Xenopus tropicalis: one gene and its partners. The protein of the gene in region 3 interacts with the protein of the main gene of each other region in a pairwise test. Links are inferred from orthologs where the notes say so. Each region holds a gene or a part of one and is shown on either strand. Other genes may lie near its edges.

Evidence for each region. The genes of interacting proteins can lie anywhere in the genome.
Region 1: the proteins of ppfia1 (region 3) and ptprf interact in a two-hybrid assay, tested with the Homo sapiens proteins (2 studies listed by BioGRID). The link is inferred for Xenopus tropicalis from reciprocal best matches to the Homo sapiens genes PPFIA1 and PTPRF.
Region 2: the proteins of ppfia1 (region 3) and txlna interact in binary tests that used the Homo sapiens proteins (3 or more experiments, as listed by UniProt). The link is inferred for Xenopus tropicalis from reciprocal best matches to the Homo sapiens genes PPFIA1 and TXLNA.
Region 4: the proteins of ppfia1 (region 3) and dtnb interact in binary tests that used the Homo sapiens proteins (3 or more experiments, as listed by UniProt). The link is inferred for Xenopus tropicalis from reciprocal best matches to the Homo sapiens genes PPFIA1 and DTNB.
Region 5: the proteins of ppfia1 (region 3) and ptprd interact in a two-hybrid assay, tested with the Homo sapiens proteins (2 studies listed by BioGRID). The link is inferred for Xenopus tropicalis from reciprocal best matches to the Homo sapiens genes PPFIA1 and PTPRD.

What each region holds. Positions count from the first base shown.
Region 1 is NC_030680.2:89,620,110-89,625,271, forward strand, and holds part of ptprf (receptor-type tyrosine-protein phosphatase F), read left to right. Parts: intron 1-413; coding exon 414-440; intron 441-1,506; coding exon 1,507-1,624; intron 1,625-3,547; coding exon 3,548-4,126; intron 4,127-4,207; coding exon 4,208-4,305; intron 4,306-5,061; coding exon 5,062-5,162. UniProt on the Homo sapiens protein: Possible cell adhesion receptor. It possesses an intrinsic protein tyrosine phosphatase activity (PTPase) and dephosphorylates EPHA2 regulating its activity.
Region 2 is NC_030678.2:86,598,601-86,603,762, forward strand, and holds part of txlna (alpha-taxilin), read left to right. Parts: intron 1-2,016; coding exon 2,017-2,091; intron 2,092-2,493; coding exon 2,494-2,586; intron 2,587-2,977; coding exon 2,978-2,992; coding exon of another isoform or gene 2,993-3,084; intron 3,085-5,162. UniProt on the Homo sapiens protein: May be involved in intracellular vesicle traffic and potentially in calcium-dependent exocytosis in neuroendocrine cells.
Region 3 is NC_030680.2:14,513,695-14,518,856, forward strand, and holds part of ppfia1 (liprin-alpha-1), read left to right. Parts: intron 1-1,952; coding exon 1,953-2,054; intron 2,055-3,287; coding exon 3,288-3,452; intron 3,453-3,868; coding exon 3,869-3,943; intron 3,944-4,291; coding exon 4,292-4,393; intron 4,394-4,603; coding exon 4,604-4,825; intron 4,826-5,162. UniProt on the Homo sapiens protein: May regulate the disassembly of focal adhesions. May localize receptor-like tyrosine phosphatases type 2A at specific sites on the plasma membrane, possibly regulating their interaction with the extracellular environment and their association with substrates.
Region 4 is NC_030681.2:161,052,676-161,057,837, reverse strand, and holds part of dtnb (dystrobrevin beta), read right to left. Parts: intron 1,362-5,162; coding exon 1,148-1,361; intron 1-1,147.
Region 5 is NC_030677.2:126,371,844-126,377,005, reverse strand, and holds the end of ptprd (receptor-type tyrosine-protein phosphatase delta precursor), read right to left. Parts: intron 3,882-5,162; coding exon 3,727-3,881; intron 2,163-3,726; coding exon 2,027-2,162; intron 1,435-2,026; coding exon 1,366-1,434; 3' UTR 760-1,365; downstream 1-759.

The sequences.
Region 1 (5,162 bases), about 75 Mb from region 3:
TGTTATGTTGCAGTCTATCAAGCATGGTTCTCCTTTGTTGCTGTAAAGATAGCAGTGTATATCTTACATGTATATACCCAGACTTACCCAAATATATACCCTTCAGTAAAACTAAAACCTCCATATACTGAGCATGACTTCCCGTATCATATTTATCCAAAAATATGTGTGAAAAAACATCTCCTCATAGCATGTATACCCATCAAATTTGTTATGCATGTAACCTTTTTCCACAAGTCTGCACCAGGTGTAGTGTTTGTAGATACTATTTTTCTAGCTTGATTCTGTGCCACAACAGTTTCTTCATTTAACATGTTCATAGCTATATGTGTTACCCTTCTGTTTTGGCCTAATGACCCTGTAAACCCGTGCCTGCATTACCCATTTACCCCCTGTTCTCTCTGTCTTACCAGTGGAGACCTGAGGATGTGGGAGATTACGTGAGTATCCCTTGTATTTTAAGTCTCTGGGCAGACTGCGTGATCGCATTTTATTTCATGAGAAAAGCAGGCTGCCACAGAGCCAACCTCTGCTGAGAAGTGAATAGCACAAGCAATGCCCAGCTCATGTATTCAGTGGGAACAATATTTACATTAAAGAAAGAACCTATAGAGTGTCCCTTTACAGAATGCCACCTCTTGTAGTTTACTGGTTAATCCCGCTGCTATGAGAATCTTGGGTTTGCTTGTTCCATTTGCACCTGATCTGGCAAGCATATGTTGGTCTTTGTGACAGTCTTCTGCCTGTTGCATAATCATTGGTTAACTTGATTGATTTCTTGGATTCTCTACCTTTGCAAATTTACTGTCCTCTATTTTCCCCTTTATCACTCACTTTTGCTGTTGTTTGACTGTCTCTTTTCCCATGATCCACTCCTTTCAACCTGCGAGCATGGAGTGGCAAAATTAATTTGCATGGAGGCCTGAAAGATCATGGGTTGTGTTGGTTTCTTGATCACTGGGGTCTATATTGGTCGGAATGTATTTTGGCTGGTGCTGGGGCTGGCATCTACACCTACCCTTGCCACATGCAGCCTTGTGATTGTCATGCTAAAGACATTATGGCGTATAGTTTCCAAAAAAATGTTTGGCTTAGTGACTTGCACAGAAAATAAATGGATTGCCCTTCATCTTCATCTTTATGAAGCTTAAATTGTACTGCATTCCCTTGCAAAACATGGCATATATTACAAGTTATAGCTTTCATGTAGTTTTTATCTTTATTTTTCAGTTCATTCCTGGGTCATGGGACATGTTAAAGTTTTCTATTACCTTATAAAGAATGGTGGTATAAAGATTAATATTGTTTTTCTCTTATTAAAACACAAACGATCTGCAGAGCACTAAGCCACTTTTTTCTTTTAAGCGAGTTTCTCTCTTGCAAGAATGTAAAGCATCCTGGATTCTATAACATGATCTCACAGCTCCCCCTTGTGAGCTTACACATAATTCCAAGTGCTTGATGTACTTTTCTTGTGTGGTGACACTATTTATCTCCATTATTTAGGATGCTGTTATCACTGGCCTCTCTCCTGAGACCACTTATTCCATCACTGTGGCCGCCTACACTACTAAGGGAGATGGTGCTAGAAGCAAACCCAAGGTCGTTAGCACCACAGGAGCTGGTAAGAATAGAATGGTAACTAGTATTTGTTGGGCCCAGCTATAGACACACAAAATTGTGTTACCATCCGTTACAATCAATATTATAAGAAAATGACAAAATGAAAAAACATTGAATCCCGAGTTTAGCTCATGGGTTTCCAATTGGATAGCTGTGAATTACTGATTGCAGCATTCTGATGTGCACTGTAATGATTATGTTGTGTCCTAGGTCAGTAAAAAAAAAAAAATCCTGCATTCCTTATGATGGCTCGTTATAAGATCCATGGCTTTTCTGGCTAAAACAAGGGTACCCTAATATCTAAGGGTTGGTTAGTTATAGCTTTGTAACACTGGATGGGATGCTGCTGTATATGACTTAATTTCACATAAATGTAGCAAGCAATATGATCCCAGGTCAATAATTCAGTACAAACAAATGGGTCAGCCTTTGTGTGCAGGATGCTGTGTCATTGAACACTTAAAGGAAAATTGGATGAGGGTGACCAATTAAAAGGGTTTTTTTAAATTTCCAAATATTCCTATTGCTGTATTATCCATACTGCGAACAAATGCTTGGTCCCATTCCAGCAGTACAGTGCCTAACTCTATAGTTATGGCCAGCAAAGGAGTTGAGCTGTGTTAATGTTTTATATCCATTGTTTTACATTAACTATAAAGATATGTCATACAGCTTTGAATCCTTTGCCATTTGAAACAAGTAGGAATTTTCTTTATGCCACTCCTGTGGAAGTGGCATGCTTGGCAGCTTGTTTCTCTCCTCCTCCAACCCTTCCCTGTGTTAATCACCCAATAGAGTAGGTAGTTTTTAAGCAGAAACACGCAAAAACGGATTAAGAAACTCCAATTTAATAATTTTTCTGGATTAGTATTAAGCTACAAGGTTAGAGAATTATTTATCACTTTCAACCTGTTGCTCTTCTGTTATATTTGAACAAGTAGTGCAAAAAAACAAAAACTGTTTACTGGGTCTTATTGCTTGGCAGTGATGATCATAAGTGTACAGTATGGGGGAATTAAATGTTAAATGTGATGAGCTCTGCTGAGCTTGGGTAGTATAGCATAGAAAGGAAGATAATGTTTGTATTTGTCAGGACAGTTTGTCTTAATCTCTGATTGGGAGTGGTTCTCAGAGCTTCTGTGTTGGTTCATTAACAGTACCAATATTTAGAAGTGTATACTATATGATGTTATGTACGCTACTGAGTGTGCTGTGATACACTGGTAGCCTCCAGGAGAGCTTGTGGGAGAGTTGATAGAATATTGTTTGCATTACAAAGAGAGCATCTTTATAGGATGAGAGTGACATGACCAAAAAGGTCAGCTGCAGAATTGCTTAACATGAGAAGCAGGGCATATAGCACGGAAAGGAAGGCACAATTTATATGTGCAATTCCTCTTTAGAAAATTAAACATCTTTTCCATTACTTGTAAAACCATGTCAGGAATTTGGATAACACTGCTGTTTGACTTTAATAACATCCAAGATGTCTAGGCATGAAACATTTTATTAGACAGTTTTACTTAGTAAGCCACAACCCCAATTAATTTTGAAAGGGTTTTAGCAAACAGCAGTTCAGTTGCCTGGATTGACCAAATATAGATCCAAAAGGAGTCCGTTCTGTCTAGAATTTCAATATACTATCTTATATATAGGGATCATCCATGGAAGTAATTACAATTTTATTCAGAATGCTACAGGTTGTGATACCTGTAATGGGCCAGCAAATGCACAATTTTCCACACTATGTGGGCTTTGTAATTTGAAAACTTAATCAGAGCTTTAAAGACTTATGTATTCTTCCAAAGACTTGCCTATTTTCTGTGGTTTTGTTAAGGTTTCTGGTAGAAACCTCAAGATAGGTGAAAGATCATTGAAGAACACAGCTATAGATTTTAATTATTAATGTGATAATATCTTTCAGTGCCTGGTAAACCCACTATGATGATCAGCACCACAGCACTGAACACTGCTCTGATCCAGTGGCATCCTCCAAGAGAGATTGTGGGAGAGTTGTTAGGATATCGTTTGCAGTACAAGCGAGTGGATGAAGACAGGTTTATTACAATTGATTTTAGCAAGAATGAACATCACCACACAGTGACTGGGCTACATAAAGGTGCAAGCTATATATTCAAGCTTTCTGCAAAAAACCGAGCTGGAGCAGGGGAGGAATATGAAAAGGAAATTTCCACAGCTGAAGATTTTCCTAGTGGGTTTCCCCAAAATCTGCAAGTAGTTGGACTTACAACCTCTACTACAGAAGTGTCCTGGGAACCACCAGTGTTGTCTGAGCGCAATGGAAAGATCACCAACTACACAGTGGTGTATCGGGACATAAATAGCCAGCAGGATCTCACCAATGTCACTCGCGACACACACATAACATTGGTCAATCTCAAGCCAGACACCACATATGACATCAAGGTCAGGGCAAGAACAAACAAAGGCGCTGGCCCTCTAAGTCCTAGCATTCAATCACGTACAATGCCTGTTGACCAAGGTAACATAAGGGAGATGTAGAACTTTATAAGGGCATGGACATGTATGTTAGTAACTGAACAGTTTCTTCCTTTCTTTACAGTGTTTGCTAAGAATTTCAGAGTAAACGCCGTGACAAAAACCTCAGTCTTGCTAAGCTGGGAGCTGCCTGATTCTTACAAATCAGCTGTGCCTTTCAAGGTTAATATTACAGAAAAGTACATTTGCTTGTTATAACATATCAGTCTACAAAAGTATTAAGTGTTTCATAGAGTCACAGTATGACTCGGTTGGACAGTGTTTTTTCCTGGAATAAACCATTTATTAGATATACCATCTACAGTACAATTAGTGATTTGATGGCATATACATTACTCTTGAGCAGCTTGGGGGCCAGAAAAAATGCCTAGATGGTTGAATTTGGCTTTAAAAGCATTAAAGCACCTCCCTTTAATTTTCATGGATCTTCACCTTATACAAATCAAGGCATAGGGCCTTCCATAGCCTTAAGCTTGCCATACATGCACCAATAGTATTGTGCAAAACCTAGTTTTGTACAATATTCGGTGCGTGTTTGCCGGATCAAAGAGACGACCAGTATCGCGAATGCTTCAGATATCAGTCGCCTTGTCGATTGGGTGGGACAAAAGATTTTGATTGGGCGCCATTGAAGGCGTCTCAGCAAAATCTGTATTTAGAGCTGTCAGGTGGAGGTTAGAATCCCTATTGTTTCTACGTCCATATCTGACGATTCAGCCCTGAACGTCAGTGGAGGGAATGAACGATCTTTCCTAGGACCAATGGTCGCACAAAAGCTCGTTATTGGCACGTGTATGGCCACCTTTAAAGAGGGCTAGAATATATTGTACACCACAATGTCTGTATAAGAAGAAACAGTCTGGTTAGTTGCTATACATTATTATTTACCCTTTTGTTTATATTTTTTTTTCCTTTTAGATCTTTTACAATAATCAACATGTAGAAGTTGATGGACACTCTATGCGCAAACTGATCAGTAATCTCAAGCCAGATACAGAATACTCCTTTGTGCTGATGAA
Region 2 (5,162 bases), on a different chromosome or scaffold from region 3:
ACTTTGGCAGTGAACATGATGATCTGCATCCATACCTTGCACTTTGTGCTCACTTCATAAACGAGCCCTAATGTTCATTCCACCCTGAAGTAGGGAGCAGGAAATGGAAATAACCCTGCCCAACTACCTTATCCTGTCCTGTACTTTGGTATTCAACATGTTGAGCTATAATATAGCACCAGAAGAGATTTCAGCCTAAACAAAAAGGGAAAAAAATTCACCTAGAAAGCCACACAATGACCTCATCATACGCTGGCAGTGGAATCAGGACAATAGGATTTTAAGCATGATGTATACAGGGGTATAGATAAGATAATTAAGCTTTTTGTTCTGCAGCACCCCAGTTTGAAATTCAAAATCTGTTACTAATGTCTTAATTACTGGTACAGTTAAATGACTAACTGATAGATGAACAGAAAGCTAAATTACAAAAATGTAATGAAAATAAAATTAAAATATAGATTTAGGTTTAATACACATTTGGTTGCTGGTGTCCGTAATGTATTTTATATTTCCGTCTGTAGGAAGCAGAACTGAAAGTCAAACCGTTTAAGCAGATCGGGAACCACAGGCAATACAAAATGTAGACTTAAGCTGTGTCACACTTACAAATTACATCATACTATATGTTTAATTTAAAGAGATTCTGTCAAGATTTTTATGGTGTACTTTTTATTTCCAAATTACGCTCTTTACATAGCAAATAATTCACTCTAACATTTAAAATGTTATTCTTAAACCAACATATGGATTTTGTTTGTTATAATATTGTTGTGTAGGTAGCCATCTCGGTGCATTGTGCCTAAAGGTGGCCATACACGTGGCGATCCGACGATGTTTCGTACGACCATCGGTCGCACGAAACATCGTAAGATCCGCCACACACCATTCAGGGCTGAATCGGCAGGTAAGGAGGTAGAAACAATAGGATTTCTACCTCCTTCTGCCGATTCAGCTCTGAAGGGAGAATTTTGGTCAGGCGCCTTCTATGGCGCCCGATCAAAATTTTCAAACTTGTCCGATCGGCGAGTCGTCCGATATCGGCAGCTTCCTGCGATATCGGTCGACTCGCCGACATGCCATACACGCACCGATTATCGTACGAAACGAGGTTTCGTACGATAATATCGGTGCGTGTATGGCCACCTTTAATCTGAGCTTTTAGAAAGAGAGCCAGCGCCACACATTAGAATTGCATAACCTATTGTTTCACCTACTCCATTTAACTGGAGGAGTCCCAAGCCAGACTTGGATTTCTTACTAATGAGTGAAATCTACCTGGAGCTGCTATCTTACTACCTTCCCATTGTTCTGGAGTGATACCACTCCAACTTGCAGCTCAGCAGTAAAAGTGTGACTGAAGTTTATTGGACACCCTGGGAAATGAAGAATATGGCTATCCCCATGTAAAATTTCAAAATTAAATATAAAAAAAATCTGTACTTTAAAAAAAAACAAAAAAAAAAAAAACAGATTTCAATGCAGGATTCTGCTGGAGAAGTGTTAATAACTGATGCGTTTTGAAATAAAACATGTTTTCCCATGACAGTATTCCTTTAAGGTTAGCCACCGTATTAAGGTAAGAGGTAAGAATGCAAAGCAAAAAGGGAAACTGACAGACAAAAGGTCAGTTATCTGCCCACTGAACAACTCTCTAAAGAACCTTGTGTCACAACAGCAATAACAGAAGGTATTGAAATGTTTAAATCAAAAACAGTAATTATAAAATACATTTACTTTTAAAGCAACATGTTATCATACCCCATTCTTTTTCCTCCTAGTACCCTCTTCTTTTATGATGATAAAATATTCGTGGGTTAGCTATTTCTTGATGCTGCTTCCATGCTTTTAAAGTATATAGTCTCCAGTTTGTCCTGTTATTGCCGATGGTCAGTTAAACTTTTACAAAGCTACATTAGTAATATTTACTTAATATTTTCAGGTACCATGGCATGTTTTGTGTTGGTCTCATTGCAGTCAGAGATTAGAATACGGTCTGATTTTTATCTCCTACAGCTGTTGAAAGAGGCAGTCGAATCCCAGCGCATGTGTGAACTAATGAAACAGCAAGAGACCCACCTCAAACAACAGGTTGTACACTACACTCCCCCCCCACAACCATAAAAGCAGCGCCATGGCAGAATTCAGAATGCTGGGGACCTGGGGTATTCTGGATAAGGGGTCTTTCCATAATTTGGATCTCCATACTTCAAGTCGACTAAAAACTCAATAAAACATTAATTAAACCCCAATAGGATTGCTTTGCATCCAATAAGGATTAATTATATCCTAGTTGAGATCAAAAGGTACTGTTTTATTATTACAGAGAAAAGAAATCAATTTTAAAAATCTGAATTATTTGATTGAATGACGGATCCCATACCTGTATTTATTTGTGAACAAAATCTTCCCATATTAGACTTCCTCACTCAAGTAAAAAATGTTAACCTTTTATAGGCCATTAAACCTGATAAAAATTCTCTTGTCCTTTAGTTAGCACTGTATACAGAGAAGTTTGAGGAGTTTCAAAACACCTTGTCTAAAAGCAATGAGGTTTTCACCACTTTTAAACAAGAAATGGAAAAGGTAAGGATTAAATAATGAATAATTTTACTGCTCATTGCAGAAAATGTAGTAAATAGCTGTTGGATCATTAAAGCATTTATTTTAATTTTTATTTCTTGCAGCTTAAGGATACTGGCACATGGAACACGTTGAGTGCTGCAGTTTTTAAGTAGTCCAAAAACACAAAGCCAAAGTATTCAAAACTACATACAGACTTACATTGAAATTGTCTGACTGATAATTTTATGGGAAACTACTGCAGTTCTTCAACAAGCAATTTCATAGCTTGTCTGTGGTGTGGTGGTGGTGGTTTTGGACTACTCTAGGCACCTAGTGCCATTATCCTAAGAGAAGTTCCTTAAAACAAATTTAAAAGTAACATTGAATTAATGTAGTCTTCCTTTATTCTCATAATGTATCCAGATGACAAAGAAGATTAAGAAGCTGGAAAAAGAGACAACCATGTATAGGTCCCGATGGGAGAGCAGTAACAAAGCATTGCTTGTCATGGCAGAAGAGGTAAGAGAATGCATGCATGGATGGATGGAAGGAATGGAAATAACACAGGACTCCACATTTTATAGGAAGCAATATATATTCACCGAGGCCCTTTTGGGGACCTAAAACTTTCTGGAAATCAGCACAGAACTTGGAACACTGTAAAAGGAAAGACAAAATAACTGGTATCAAAAACCTAACACAACTCAATTAACCAGCGATCGGCAAAGGCCAGGATGGGTGGCAAACCTCAGTCAAATATGCAAAAAAACGAAATAAAGTATATATGAGGGCTTAGGCAGATTGTAAGATAGAAACCAGTCTGGGCAATGATACACTACTGGTGTAAACCTTTTTAACCAAAACAATGTGGCAAAATCATGGAAGCTTGGCAGAGAACTGGAGTGTAAACGAAATTGAAATTTAAATATAAAACTTATTGCTATCTCATGCAGCCCACATTTAATGATTCTTTTATTTATTTATTTTTTCCAAATTTGTACTTGTACTTTTAGAAAGGTAAGGGGGGGGGGGTGGAATAAATACGTTTTTTTTATTATGAGACTGCCTGCATTATTATTAATCATGGCATAAACAGATAAACAGAAATATACATGTGTGAAACAATTAGCTTTATGTCTAACAGGGTGTCTCAGAGATGATGCATTTGTTTGGAATTGCTTCCAAGTGTTACAAGTCACAGTGCAATCTCCATCCAGGGAAGAAGCACACCAAAAATCTGGCACATTTTTGTGGCACAAAAATCTCTATGCAATAAATGTGTTAAAGGCAATTGCCGGTATTTTGATGTGCTTTTTCCCTGGATGAAGGTCTATGGGGTTTGGCTTGAAGCAGCCTTGGAATTGAATGCACCCTATGGAATTATGTAAGTGGTGTGTCGAAGTATGAGTTTCTGGTATTATAAGTGATTCCATAAACAATGTTGCCTTTGTCCAGTAACCCAAATCAACCAGCCAACCGTTTTTAATACTTAAATTCACTTAAAACATGCAAACTTTTGCTCACAGCTCTACATCCTATAACCCCCTCTTACCTTTCTAAAGTAATCCCATAGAACATGGTCAACTGTACTTGGCATATAAGTATGTAGTTGTAGATTCCTTGCAAAAGAGTTCAGATCCCTGACCAATTCTGTCTTGACTGAATAACAAATCCTTCGCTGAAATGTTCTACACTGGGACAGTTTACTTTAGCCCCTGTGAAACTGCAGCACCTTTCACAGCAATTAATCTTTCAGGATCAGTATGTATTGCTTTGTGTGTTGTTAGGGAGTGATATTGGCTCAACCACTAAATTTTAAACCATTAGGCGGGGGTGCAATGAGGTTGTGACCACGAAATACATAGAAACAACAACAAGAGATCCTCTGCACTCACCCATTATCAATATATAGGACATTAAGACATTCGGTGCATTTAAGCTACTAAGAAATGCCCTTCCCTTTAAGCAAAACAGGGATTGTTTGTCCATATATTGCAATATACTTCAAGCTGGCCAACTGCGTCAGTCATCCCTTTTGACCAGTTCCTACACTGACTTATGCGATTCATTAAGAATTCTACTGCTTCAATATACATTTAGCCAAGGGGCTAAGTTTTACCTGCAACTTTCTTGCTTTCAAGGTTAAAACCCCCTAATGGTTTAAAATTTAGTGGTTGAGCACAACTTTCCCTTTTTTTGCTATAGCTTATACAGGAGCAGTGGCCAGCTCCTTGTTGTAGCTCCCACCCTTCCCAGCTGCAGTCAGGTGATCCCAGTGGAGCCAATAAAAGGGCAACCATATGGGGGTTTTACGTGACGTGTATAGTACACAAAACTTGTGTACTATACACGTCACGTAAGTTTTTTTCACTTCTTTGTTTGATTTTTCCCGCCATACACAGTATTTATGTGTGTTTCTCCTTCGCTGCTACAACTTTGACAAAGGCTGGTGTAACAGCCGAAACGTTAGTTCACTCCTCTGGCAATAAAAAAAAGATTTTTTGTTTTGTATAAGTCCTGTGTGTGCGACTTCCGTGATTTTTTCCTTGCACATTTCTTTCTGAACTTTGCACCCAGGCAACGTTAACTATCGGTTT
Region 3 (5,162 bases):
TGCTAGAGAACCTTATTATATGTGATAGAACACGTGGTGTGTTTGCTGCATTACTAAATTCACAGCCAGTTAGACGTTTTGGCAGCGGAGCTTTTCTAAACAGATCCAATTGGACTTGATATGAATAAAGTCAGATGGTCCTGGTCTTTTGGTGTTTTTCCTCGAAGGGCTTGAAGAGTTTGCCTTTCATCTCCCCCCCCACCATCCTCGCTGAACTCTCCATCACCTTGATTATTTCCCATGCCATTGGCAGGATGGGAATAGAATACAGCTTGGCGTCGGCAGCCGTTCCGAAGTTATGTGTGTGTGAGAAAGGGAGCCTGAAAAGGTTGGCGGCCCCTAACTTCGCCTGGAATGTCCCTATTAAATGCTACGTTGTTGTCTTTCGGGAGGGATCCTTTAGAAGTGAGATAAGCAGGAAGACAAATGGACATTCTTCTCCTGTGGTTACAGTTTGTATAGACCACGCGGGTTCACAAACAGAGCTCAGGTTCTGCGCATGTTCTCATGAGGCCCTTGCGCCCCGGGAAGGCTTTCCTACAGCGAATGTCACTTGTGCTGTTGTGCAGTTTCCCTGTACAATAATTAACCTGCTACTGTGTGTGAGGAATTTACTGCATCGGTTGAAAGGTTGAAACCATTTAACCCCCTGGGGACGTATCTTGGCTGTGTTTGCCTGCTGGCATTTTGCTACATTTGTCGCCAAGCTGCCCAAACTTTTTTTGTGGTCCTCCATTATCATAAGAAGGTTACTGGAAACATCAGTTCTCTTCATCTTAAACTTACATGTAATTGGTGACACCAGGTCCAATGTGATCTTCTGGCCAGACCTCCAGCCAATCGATATCAGCCCCAAGTCTCAACCTGAGTGGCCTTTAAGGTGGCCATACACGGGTAAATTTGCTTGTCTGACTCGCCAAGCAAGTGGATCTTCTCCCAATATGCCCACCTAAATGTGGCCAATATGGGGCTAAATGATCAATTACAACATCGGGCATAAGCGCAGACAGATCAAGGACCACATCAACGAGCCAATGCTGTCCCGGATCTGACAGAAAACCAAATCTACCCGTGATTGGCCAATTTTAGGCCAGGTATTGGTCGGGTAGGCCTGTCGGGGGTGCCCATACATGGGCAGAGAAGCTGCCAGAATAGTCCCCATAGTTTGGAAACCAGTGCTCTGTCAGCTGTTTCTTGCTCAGTGGGAGTTCTATGCGTCAGTGAGTGGGGGTGGTAGGGTGCTGTGTTTGCTCATTACATTTGGCTGCTTATAAGCCTGTGTGGTCATCGGCTGTTATTTTTGTTGGAGCCAGACACATCTCCATGTGGGGTGTGGGCTCAGTGTATTTAGCTGCTGCCATTGGTTGGAGCCAGATAACGTCACATTACCAACTTAAAAGCCTGGTTGTTGTCATTTATTCCATAGAAATCCTGTATTTTCCCCTCCCCGGGATACTAAAATTCTCCGACTGACAGCGAAGCCATGACAGGTGCTTAACTTGTACAGCTCCCAGCGCTGCTTTTCTCCCTCGTGTCTGTAAGGCTGACCTCTTTATTTAACAAGGTGGTACATTCCTGTGAGGAACTCGCCAAACAAGAACCCATAGACAAACATTTAAACACTGTGTGACAGGGACACGACAGACGACAGTCTGATAAGAATCCATGTACCGTATTGCCAACAAATATCTGATGTTGCAGAATGAAATAATTCATTTTGTAAAAAGCCTTTTAGCATCTAGCTGTGACTTACACACATTTATACAAACATATGATAATGCATGGGGACAATAGAGCTAATGCTGATTTGTAGCAGAGCTATTTGTGTGCCGGCATCATTATTTCAGTTGTTTCTCAGCTCCATAAACATCTGATTGCAAAGCACTCAGTTTGCTTGTTATTATGATAATCCTGCAAGTCTGTGAAACGCTCATGTTTATTCTCTTTTATAGGAGTTTGCCGCACTTACAAAAGAGCTAAATATTTGCCGAGAGCAGCTTCTAGAGCGGGAGGAAGAAATAGCTGAACTAAAGGCTGAAAGAAACAATACTAGGGTAAGTCAAGCATGAATGCTAGCTTGGAATATGTGTGTGCAGCATGGCTGCTCATTAAAGGGAAAATATACCCCCCTCCCCTTTTTGACCTAAGCTCATTCACTTGGGCTTATGGAGAAAAGGTACATGTACACTAACTGTATCAGAGCTGGAGTGGAATTCAAAATAGGCCCTGGCATTTCTAGTACGCAGAGGCCCAAACAGCCTCCCCACGAGCCCAATAGTGACAGTCTATGGCATCTTACAGCAGCCCCTCTGGCATTTGCCAGAATCCACAGAGCAGTCCAGGCCTAATCGGTACTGTATTCCACAGATTGAAAGGAAGCTTGTTATAGATAGGAACCAGTTCACAATATCCCCTAAAACAGTGGTGGGCAAACTTATTGGTCAACTGAGCCAAATATCAACAAAACAGCGATTGAAATTTCTTTTGAGAGCCAATTTTTTTGCAGACTGTCACTGGCTCACTCGTGCATGAAACGAGCGAGCCTCCCCTGCACTGCGTCTCCCGCCCCCCGCCTACGCTGCTTCTCCCGTAGCCCAAAGACCACCCCCTCCTGCTGATTTTTGCTATGGGCAACGAAAATGCAATCGCACTTTACGTGCTAGTCCGCACCTGGAAGAGCCAAATTCAAGGGGCTAAAGAGCTGCAGTTTGCCCACCACTGCCCTAAAACATTAAGATCTGCTCATTTGGCAAGGACGAGCAGATCTCTCGATTGGCTGGCAAAAGTTGGCTAATTTGTCTCTAGGGCCAAACGATCGATTTACAACAACCCTTTTAGGAGCTGTCAATATAATCAGTCCGGGGGCCCCGTGCATGGGCATATAAGCTGCCCATTCGATCTAAAGGGCTTGAATCAGCAGCTTAAATCTGCTTGTGTCTGCCCACCATTAGGCTCACAGTATAATGCAAACCCCCTCTCTTGTTGTTCCATTGTAAAATGATGGATTTTGGGACTTGACGTCCTTTTGCTTTCTATAGAGGATGCACAGATTCTCTGGAAAGCAGAGGCACAGTCAAAATCCATCACTTTCCAATGGAACAAGGTTAGGGATGCTTTTCATTTCACTTAAGAAGGGTGAGGAACTTAGGCACCTTGTTTTGGGTTACATAAAAATCTCTTTAGTTATAGTTTGCCTCTAAAGACATAGATGGTGCATTGATAGATTGTGTAGGCACTGTGCGGATGTTGAGCTTTGGGCCTAGTTTCATTCATGTGTGTTTTTCTAGCTCTTACTAGAACATCTGGAGTGTCTGGTTTCCCGGCACGAAAGGTCCCTAAGAATGACCGTGGTGAAGAGGCAGGCTCAGTCCCCTGCTGGTGTGTCCAGTGAAGTTGAAGTCCTAAAAGCACTAAAGTCTCTGTTTGAGCATCACAAAGCTTTGGATGAAAAGGTATTTTCTTGACTTTAAAGGGGTAGTTCACCTTCAAATTCACTTTTAGTACATTGAATGATGGTCTTCCCTGTATTTTTTATGGTTTTTCAGTTATTTAGCATTTTCTTCAGCATCTTTCTGGTTTGGTATTTCAGCAGCAGTCTGGTTGCTGGGGTCTTATTTACCCTAGCAACCAGGCAGTCAGTGATTGACGGGGTCAGTGACCCCCATTTGAAAGCTGGAAAGCGGCAGAATAGGAAGGAAGATAATTCCAATTTCCAATAAGACCAATTGCAAAGTTGCTAGGAATAGGACATTCTAGATTCTTTCTGCATTTTGTCTACACACAAACTGGCCAATGTGGCCCCTAATCTGCAGATCATTCAGTATTTCCAGTTGGATTTTTCTTTTCCTGATTCTGTGTTTTTCTTTAGGTAAGAGAGAGGTTACGGGTGGCATTAGAGAGATGTAGCTTATTGGAAGAAGAACTGGCTGTAACACACAAAGAGGTAGGTCTGCATTCTAAACTTGCTTGCTCTGTATTCCTGCATTGTTTGAATGATAAGTCTGCAGCCTTCCATGGCCGCCCCAGGCAAGTGGGCCTGATATATATTTATATACAACTGCCTTTTCGGATCCTGCTCAGATGTTATTCTGTAAATATTTTATACCATTAGCTGTGGGTTTTTTTTTTCAAGTTGGCAGAATGGACTGTACATTTCTTTTGGGGGATTGGAATGAATGCTCATCTGTTTTCATGCAAGTACAGAACAGGAAGAGGTTTGGAAACCACTGTTCTGGATGGGAGTCCTTTAAATGCGTCAAACTGATTTTTGCCAAAATGTGTCTGTTTTCAGCTGATGATTTCAAGAGAGCAGAATAATCAGAAGAAAATATTCAATGACGGTACAGCCGATGTCAACCACGAGCAAGAGAACGCACTTAACGCTAACGGGAAGGTGAGATGGTTCAAACACGGCTGCTGGCAATGTTGGCATATGTAATGGTGCTTGTAAGTCCAGTTGTAGCTTTGGTATTGGTTTATGTCTCCAGTAAATATAGATATGGACAGTTTGGACCTGGATAACCTAATCCATCTCCCCTAAATATAACATTTTTGGATTAAAATGGATTACCGCTATTTATTATTTTTTTTTTTTTTATGACAGAGATCATCAGATTGCTCTATAAATCATAATGAGGACCTATCTAAAGTGATGGAGCTCCAGGATATCATAGAGAAACAAACCAAGGAGCAAGTTCAAATGAAGGAGCGCCTGGCTGTTCTTTCCAACCGGGTAACAGAGCTAGAAGAAGACCTCGATACTGCAAGGAAGGACCTCATCAAATCCGAAGAAATGAACTCAAAACTTCAACGGGACGTACGAGAGGTGAGAGGGAAAGTCAGTACAATTATTAAGAAAGAAACACTGCTTCTCCCTGTACTAGTTATACCCATCCCATTAGTTTAGAGAGCTCTGGGTCACTGGGGAGCTGCCCAGGGACATAGCAATGTATAGAATACTCAGAGGGGCTAGGGGTGCCACTGCATAAGGCCCTCACCTTTGGGGTGTTCTGGGTCCACATAGGGTTGCTGTGATCTTTGGTACGGAGGATGGCAAGCACAGGTTTGGGAGGCGGCGGCCCTAGTATAAATTTTGCACCCAGGCCTAATTTTGAGAGCAAACATTATCTCTGTTGGTTTGCTTTAAGATTTGATGTAGTGGG
Region 4 (5,162 bases), on a different chromosome or scaffold from region 3:
CAGCATATAATACCCCCAGGTACAGTGCCACACACTCAGAGCATTTCTATCCCAGCCTGCTTGTCTTACGCAACCTCTCAGCTGAGTGGATCTCGGCCAAAATATTACAAATTGAGTCTCACCACAGATTTCCTAATTCCTTGTGCAGTTGGAATGTTTCTGCACAAGAACAACTCCTAACTCCTCCTTGGTTAGGCTGGCACCCTAGCCCTGTGACACCCTAGCCCTGAGGCAACATAGCCATCTGGCACCCTAGCCCTGTGGCACCCTAGCCCTGTGGCACCACAGCCCTCTGGCACCACAGCCCTCTGGCAACATAGCCCTGTGGCACCCTAGCCCTAAGGCACCTTAGCCCTCTGGCACCCTAGCCCTGAGGCACCCTAGCCCTGAGGCAACATAGCCCTGTGGGGTTATCTACAATCAGCTTCCCATTTCCCCTACAAACAGAGCTGTGTGCCTCCTTAGCCAAAGCCAGCTCTTGCCTTCCCAGGCTGCCCCAGTGCCTTATCCAGCCCCTAATCCTTACTTGTTAGCCCCCTTCTCTCCACCTTCCCCTTGTGGATGTGGCTTCTCTCCCAACCGGAGTTTCTGTTTAACCCCAGGGCATATAATTTAAGCTTCTTTCCCAATTTGCTCCCGAGACAAAACATAGGTTGGTTTCCAGTACAAGCCACTAACCACAACAACATGGATTTCTCTGTAGGCTGCCAATGCCTTGATTGGAGCTTCCCTCTGACTCCATCCGCCTTAGCAGATCTACAGGGCCTCTCCTGGCCTAAAGGGATAGTGAATTATTACTGCTAATAAGATCACTAGGTACAGTTCGGATGTGGAACAAACCCAGTATAACCAGAATCTCATATCTTTGCTGGTACTGTGGGCTCGGCGCTCGGTATAGAAGGCAACCCCCTGTATGTTTATTGCATGTGACTGGGGGGCTGAAATGTTGCAGCTTACCCAATAAACATGCAGGGGTATTGCCCCACTTGCCCTTGCTCTGTTACTGGGCCGGTATTACTGCAAAGTCTGCTTGCTGGCACTGAATAGGTTCTGTGTATATAGAACATTCCCAGCTGAGTCAGTAGTCGGAACCAGAAGGGAATCACTGCTGACACCCACACATACAGGGAAAGCCGACGGGACCGACCTGTCATAAGCAGCGATCATGAAGTTGAGCAGAAGGCTGATGGACTGGTCGACGCCGATCTGATGGGTGGAAGGGAGGCGCTTATTGAGCTGGTAGTATATGGACGATATGATGGTCTCTAGCCGGGACACGTTTATCTCTGTGTTGTGATCCAGTGTGTTAAGGCCGTTGTCCCGGAAAGCTTCTATCATATTCCAAATGTCAACCAGGTGAACTGAAAGAGAGAGGAGAAGGCAGGGAGTAAGTACAGGGGTGGGACAGAGGGCAGGGGGTAAGTACAGGGGTGGGACAGAGGGTAAGTACAGGGTTGGGACAGAGGGCAGGGGGTAAGTACGGGGGTGGGACAGAGGGCAGGGGGTAAGTACAAAGTTGGGACAGAGGGCAGGGGGTAAGTACGGGGTTGGGACAGAGGGCAGGGGGTAAGTACGGGGGTGGGACAGAGGGCAGGGGGTAAGTACGGGGGTGGGACGGAGGGCAGGTGGTAAGTACAGGGGTGGGACAGAGGGTAAGTACAGGGGGTGGGACAGAGGGTAAGTACAAGGGTAGGACAGGGCAGGGGGTAAGTACAGGGGTAGGACAGAGGGCAGGGGGTAAGTACAGGGGGTAGGACAGAGGGCAGGGGGTAAGTACAGGGGTAAGACAGAGGGCAGGGGATAAGTATGGGGGTGGGACAGAGGGCAGGGGGTAAGTATGGGGGTGGGACAGAGGGTAGGGGGTAAGTACAGGGGTAGGACAGAGGGCAGGGGGTAAGTACAGGGGTAGGACAGAGGGCAGGGGGTAAGTACAGGGGTAGGACAGAGGGCAGGGGGTAAGTACAGGGGTAGGACAGAGGGCAGGGGGTAAGTATGGGGGTGGGACAGAGGGTAGGGGGTAAGTACAGGGGTAGGACAGAGGGCAGGGGGTAAGTATGGGGGTGGGACAGAGGGCAGGGGGTAAGTACAGGGGTAGGACAGAGGGTAAGTACAAAGGTGGGACAGAGCGCAAGGGGTAAGTACAGGGGTGGGTCAGGGGGTAAGTATGGGGGTAGGACAGAGGGGAGCCCCGCCGAGGCGAAACTAACAAATCACTGAATCTTTATATCCCATCGGGGAAATAAAACAGAACAGGACAGTGTAGGAAATGGCACCTATGTATGTTGTGGATAAAGTGTTTCCGAATAACAGATCCTATCACAACGGACAATCTGAGAACAGTAGAAGTAGGAGTAAGAGTGTATAGAGGATAACCTGAGTATATTATGAGTATTTGGAGTATATGAGATTAATACATGGAGTGTATGAAGATAATGTGAGTATATAAAAAGCCTGTGCTTTGTATAGATGTTTATATTGGACTACACATAAGAGCATACAGGGTTATATGTTGTTTATCCTTGGATCAATAAAAGATATGAAAATAGAAGAACTCCGATGAAAGGTGTGTCTGTGCCAGTGGCCCCTAGCCTAACAAGGTGCCCAAGGTGCCACATCCCTGCGGGGGGAGAGCAGCCCACGCTTACTGATTTGACCTTGAGGATAACAAAAACTTTATTTTGGCCTATTTGGGCCACTCCAGTGCTTTATTGGCAAACTGCAGGCATACATTCACTTGGTCCTTTCTTTTGTGCCACCCTGCAGTGTGTGGGGGTATCTGTGCCAGGAACGGCTCAAAACTGCACCCCCACCGGATCTATTTTATCTTCTGGCAGCGAAGGCTCCATAGTAGGGTGTGGGGGGTAAACCTGGAGGAGTTAACCCTTGCCACTCTGAGAAAGTGGAGTCGCAGAAGGGGCATAGCCCCAGAAGGGAAGAAAAAGGCAGAGATTATTGCTTTACTGCTGCCCCTCCTACATTCAGATGCTGAGACTGTTACATCAGATGTTGCTATTGCTGGGGCCCCTGAAGCGGTCCGGGGGCCACCAGCCAACCCTACCCGAGACAGGGTTGGAGAGGTGTTTAAACAAAGGCTGGAATTGTTCCGTGAGGAGCTGACTGTGGCAGAAAAGATGGAGTTGATGAAAATGGTGCAGGAGGAGGTGGCCAGTGAAGGACATGGCTTAGGGGAGCATGGTAGGCTATCCGTGTCCTCAGTGGAGAGTCGGGCACGAGACATTCTGAAGCTTGCCACTGCCTTCCCCACATTTCACGAAGGGCAGGACAGCATTGATGCCTTTCTAGAGACATTTGAAATTATGTGCAGGGCCCATAACATCTCAGAAGAGGACTGGCCCCGAATCCTTTCTGGCAAGCTAACTGGAAGGGCCAGCGCTACATTTCGGGCCTTGTCTGATGAACAAAGACTGGACTATGAGGAGATTAAACAAGCATTGCTGATCCGTTATGCTATCACCCCAGAGTTTTACCGGCAAACATTCCGGTCACTGCTAAAGACCCCCCAGGATACTTACCTTGAGTTTGGTAACAAGTTATCAAGGGCCCTTGACAAGTGGGTTAAAGGGTCTGGGGCTGAAACAATGGAGGACTTAAGGCAATTATGCCTGAAAGAGCAATTTTTGGAGCGGTGCCCCCCAGGAGTCCGAGAGTGGGTTGTAGACCGTGAGCCACAGACAGTAGAAGAAGCTGCCCAGTTGGCAGACAAGTATATGGAAACCAGGATGCCTACAAAGAGAGGGCCCCAAGCACCAGGTACAACAGGTCCCAGGGCAAGAGAGCTGCCAGGCTCTCATCCGCATTCCACTGGCACTAATGCTGCTCCCCACCCACCGCTACCAGGGGCTGGACCTAGAAGCTGCTTTCGATGCGGGGCCCTGGGTCACTTTCAAGCTTCTTGCCCTCTAAACCAGCGATCTCCTTCTGTGTCAGGGGCTCCAAAGGTGACGCCTGCTCGACCTGTCGCCACTGTTCAGAAGGAAAGTGCAGAGTGTGACCTGCCTGAAATCAACCTAAGTGAGACCCCCGAATTTGCAGTAATGCAGATACACTGGGCAGATCAGTCCAAGAGAAAATGCCATGTGATTCCAGTGCAAGTAGATGGAAACCCAGTGGAAGGTTTCCTGGACTCTGGTGCCTTTATAACTCTGGCGGAACCTAGTGTGGTGACGTTAAATCGCATCGTTCTGGGGAAAATGGCCCGAGTGATTCTGGCTGGAGGACAGCGCAGAGAGGTGCCAATTGCACAAGTGACTTTGGACTGGGGAGAAGGGCCCGTGCTGCATGAAGTGGGGGTCATGGATCAACTTCCTGCTGATGTCCTGCTTGGAAATGATGTGGGAGACATTTGCTGCAGCATCACGAGGCGGCAGGCAGAGTCAGGCGAGCCACCGGCAGTTGTCCAGGAGGTAAATGGGCAGACAGATGTGACTGATGACTCATTTGACATAGGTAATTGGCAGGATTTTAGGGCTGAACAAGCAGCAGACCCTAGTCTTCAGCCATTAAGAGACAGAGCTGGGCAAGGGGTGGTAGGTACCGAAGCAGGGGAACAAATAGTGCAGGAGGATGGGTTGTACTATAGAGTCCTCAAAAGCCCTAGAGGAAAACAAAGGGAAGCATGCCGTCAGTTGTTGGTGCCTGCCAAATTTAGGACCCAGTTGCTGCACCTTGCACATGAGGTACCCCTCGCAGGGCACCAAGGGATTTCTCGCACGCGCTATCGCCTGCTACAAAATTTCTATTGGCCAGGGTTGTCACAACAAGTGGCACAGTTCTGCCGATCATGTGACAGCTGTCAGAGGGTTGGGAAAAGTGGGGAGCGGAACAAGCATACATTGCGACCCTTACCAGTGATAGGGGAGCCATTTCAGAGAGTTGCTGTTGATTTGATAGGACCCCTTAGCCGACCCAGCAGGACAGGCAAGCAATATATACTTACAATGGTAGACTATGCCACCCGGTACCCAGAGGCGGTGGCTTTACGGAGAATTGATGCCCCAGCCGTTGCAGATGCACTGATTCAGATTTTTTCACGAGTAGGGTTTCCTAGTGAGATCCTATCCGATCAAGGGCCACAGTTTATGTCCCAATTACTTCAGTGTCTATGGCAGCGCTGTGGGGTCACCTCTCTTCGCTCAAGCCCG
Region 5 (5,162 bases), on a different chromosome or scaffold from region 3:
TTTTGGCTTTGCCCTTATTTTTTTTACATATCATACAACTGACATTTTTGATCATATCTCATAGATTATAAATGTTGTAAATGATTTGATATAATTGCAATGAAAATCTTTGATATATTACAATATTTTCCTCCATTACACCGATCAGCCTTGCATGCACATATCCTGTATACTATACAAGATGACTGATTATTGCACTAAAGTGTTACAAAGATTGTAGTGCAGTGGAAGCCTTTACAATGTATGTAGATTGGTGAATATGTGGCAAATTTCGGGGGTGAACCTAGAATATCACTGATGTGCATTCCTTCATTCGTTATAAAAACAAAAGATTGAAGATTTTGTAATTTTTTTGAAAAGTAGTAATGATATGATACTTTAGACTCTAAACCACAATGATTAACTCAAAAAACAAATCAATCTGTGGAAGAGCTGATATACAGTTTATGTATGAATATATATATATTTTATGTGTTCTTGCAGCAGCTTTATACTTTGCGCTTCCCTGTTGATTCCAAACAGAACATGAAAAAAGCTTGTCTTGAATGCTTTGCAAATAATATGACTTAAAAAAAAATGGGAATATGACGTTGTAAAAGAAGTATGAGATAAAAAATATGACACTTTATAAGTCAAAATGCACACATATGTGCAAATCTTTCAATAGTTTTTATATTTCTAATTAGGGATATTACATATAACAGTTCTACCGCATAAAAAAAATACAGTTCTGGATCAAAAATCAACAATTATGCAATGTTTTATTCACTTTCTTTATAAATTTTTGTTAAAAAAAAGGAAAATAAAGTTTACACCGTTAATAATGAAGCACAGGTCAGCAGTATCTTTACAATACTAAAAAACTAAATAAATGACTTTGTTTTTCAACATTTCCCACCCATTTCTTTTACTAATGTGTTATGGTCAATATGGATAGAAGGGCTGATGTCGAAGCAAAGATTCCATTTGTCTAAGAAGCCAGAAGTAGGCTCAATAAACATCTTGCACTGAGCTGTTGTATTCCTAAGATTTGTCTTTGAACAATCATGCAATCCCAGACAAGTTCATGGTTCTTTGCGATTTCCTCTTCCTCCCTTTAATGCCAACTGGTTCTGGATTATTCACAGAGAAATTATCCCTTCAGATGCCATCCCAGTGAGGGTTATTTATTTTTTTATGTTAGGTATTAAAGTGTGAATTCTTGGTCCACCCAGAAAATGTCTTTTATTTTTATAATATTCCAATTATTGTAATTGGTCTTTAGCTAGGAGTTAAGAAGTACATCCCAAGCACACTGTATGGCTCAGAAGAGGCTCTCTGGATCTTGAAGGGCCTGCAGGTAAATTTCTGGATGGGCCAGAAGTTCTACGTTGCATAGTGATCAAAGCTGCCCAAATATTCAAGTCCTGCTCGGTAGCAGAACTGATATTGATCCTAAACATGGAAAGAAAGAGAATGGTAAACTCAGTGTTAATGTATACAAACCGAATAACATACTATATACTTTGTTATTAATATTTAGTATTAGCACATGGACTGCACTGCTCAAATTTATTTGACACCATAGTAAACTTAGCTATATGTTGAATATTAGGGGGTGATTTATCAGCGTTCGAGTTTGATTTTAGTGCTACAACTCGCACAATTTTAATTATTGCTCAAAAATTCGAATGTCTGATATTTATTAAGGTAAAACAATCCAACAACTTGATGTAAAATGACGGCATTTAAAAGCTTGCGAGTTCATGTAAAAATCAATTGGAGGTGTCCTAGGCAAAGTCAAGCCATATAGAGATTTTCGAGTCTTGCAAAAAATGCAATAAAAAAAGAAATACTAACATCAAAGATCATAGTTAAAATTAACACTTAAACTATCAGTTATTTTGTACCTTAATTTCAAGGCATTTTACAAATCTATGCCTTAAATAGGCTTCTGAATGAAATTGCATCAGTATCTATTGAAACATTAAAACCAATAACTGTTCCAAAGACCTATCATAGGCATATGTAGTGTATGTTCCCTCACCTCTGTCTGTACCACTGCAGGCCGTTGCGTTCTCAACATTTTGACAGTCTGGAAGATATCTACAACACCCTCATATCTCATACGTTCTAATACTATACTCAGAGTTATGAAAACTCCTGTTCTTCCAACGCCAGCACTGTGTAAAAAAAAAAAAAAAAGTTCATGGTTAATATGATGTACTACTGAGCAGTATGACTGAGAACAAGTCACACAAAGTCATTCTGACACTAACACTTCATAAACAGGCTTTTAATAGGTAATTTCTGTATCCCACAGTAATTCTATTTATAGAGAGATTGTTACGGGGCTGTTCTGACATGTAACCGTTAAGAATGTTGGCATCATATAAAGAAAAATAATAAAAGAAGTTTATTTGGGGATTTAGGCTATTCTTTACCATTTAAAAAAAATAACAGAATATCTCCAAACTGAGGTTGAGAGCCCTCAGGCTGAATATCAACAAAGTACAAGTTTCAATAATGTTTCGCAAATATTTATTATTCAGGGACTAGAGCTAACACAACAGATAACAAAAACTGCTCGTACAGGTTTAGGAAATGTTAGTCAGAATGTTCAGGACCTGAGGTGTTCCAGATTAGTGGTCTTTCCGTAATTTGGATCTCCATGCTTTGTCTGCTAAAAATTACGTTTAATTTAATAACCCCAATAGGATTATTCTGCCACCAACATGGATTCATGCAGCTCTGTTACCATCAAGTACAAACTACTGTTTTATTATGACAAAGAAAAAGAATACATGTTTTAAAAGTGTGAATTATTTGTATAAAATGGAGTCTATGGGAGATGATCTCCCCATAATTTAGGCATTTCTGGAAATGGATTTACAGATTATGGAGCCCATACATATACTTTCTTGGCAAATGCATCTTAACAGTGCATAATAATATAGCATGATATTTTGCTTATACCTTTACATAATATACAAGTAAAAAGTTAATTGGACTTAAAACTTAGTTTATATATAACCTTCTAGTGAATAAATTATACAAGACACAATTGGATTGGATTATATATTCACAAATCAAGGTACTGTATATATGTATATATTTATATTATATGCACAGATTGTTATATTTTTAAAGCAATCATTCCATACAAATAACTATATTGTCCCCTTGGGAAATAGACAATACTTTGAAAATATGAATTTGTCCCACAGCCTCCAGAAGAACGGTCTTGGTTTATGAATCCAAAGCAGTGAATAGGGTAGAACAGATTTCCCTGTCTCCACACTTGGTTTGACCTTAAACTGTTCTTTAACAACCCATGCAATTTGCAAATGGAATATCAAGCTTGCACAAAGTGGCAACTGGCAGATAATGCTCTCTTGATGGTCCACTCTAAGGTTCATAAGTTCAGTTAAATATTATTATATTCTTCATTAGGTCTGAGAGGTTTCATTTTGTGACAATTTGATATATTAAATAATGTAAACCCTACTGAATCTTTAGGTACTGCCCATTATTATGGGCTGATATATTTGGTGTTTTATATTTCTTAGAAGAAAGTGCTGTAAAAGTTAGGAAAAGATAAACATATATGTCTGATGTAGATACACATGGATGTGTGCAGCCAAGAATGCTTGTCATATATTATACTGGAAGATAAGACATTTTAATCTCATATATTTTATCTAAAAATAATATTATACTACATAACTGTTAATAAGAATTATTTACCTGCAATGAACAGAGATTGGCCCATCCTGACCAAATTGTTCCTTTGTTTTATGTACTTGCCCAATAAAGTCAATAAATCCTTCTCCAGACTTTGGCACTCCTTGCTCTGGCCAGTCAGTAAACTGAAACTGTCGCACTGTTCGTGACTGGCCATCCTAAAAAATAATGATATGAAGATTAGTAAAAACCTATGGTACAACAGGAAAGTCATCAGTAAACCAACAATTATGGGTGTTCATTTTCCGTGTTAGGAAAATGAAAGCAGAAAAAAAAAGGCAAACTGAGCTTAAAATCAAATAGTATTTAGAATAGAATTTGAATTCAGTATTGCATTATTATATGTTTTATGTCCTTATATGTATATGTCCTACCACATCTTGTAGTAGACATGCCATCTGCCATTTATCTTTGATTCTAACTGGCAATAATAATTTTTCTAAAGGAAATCTAAACTAAAAGTGAAATCTTATTACCTACTTGTTAAATTCTGTTGTTAAGCTGTTGAGTCCAAGATAACATAACATGTCATTAGGTTTACACAATGTCTATTTAGAATTTTTATCCCAAGTAAAACAAATTGTAAACAAGTGAAGAAAACTGTTTTGCCAGCATTTCGCAAAATGATCTATAATTTTTTTTTTTTAAAAGAATGAAACAGTTTTTGGGTTCAATAATCACTCATTTGTCTCTGCAGCATTTGGAACCAAACACTTGTGCACAAAAGGTAGGGTAAAATACTGCCAATGTATTTGCCAGTAAACATGTAACTACTTGTTGTTCCACCCCAATTTCCTATTCGCAGGTCAGTCCTCTAGTCTACAGAAGCCCAATCTATCCTGTGCCGCCCCTTCAAGTCATTACCCCACCCCCTTTACAGGTGTCACACAATAACTGTGCTCATTTTGTGCCATAAACTGACCAGCCCCTACCTCCCCTATACCCTGGCGGGTATTATTCCTAGTAAAAGGTGGCAATCCTAATAGTAAGGAACCATGTTTATTGAGTTAGGGTAAAACATGGGAATGTAGCAAAGAACAAGGTACTGTATTGTACTGTAGTGGCAAAACCCACTGCAACAAAACTGCATTCAACTTTCCTTATTCAGCATTCTGCTTCCATCTAAATTATAGACTGCAAGAAGCTAGATAAATTTGGTCTCACATTACCACACCTAAGGACAAAATGATATGGTTGTGAAAAGACAATCTAAATGCAGCAGTTGAGCCCAAAGACACAAAGGTGAAGAAAGACGGCTCACTAAAAGGTTAGCAAGGCAATGCATATTATGGCATGTTGATGTTCCACACATTATATAGATGTCTGTTTTGGATACATCTTCAAGAGGAAAGAAATATTATGAAAAAATTCCCTTTTATATATATAAATATATATATATATATATATATATATATATATCTATATATATATAAATATAT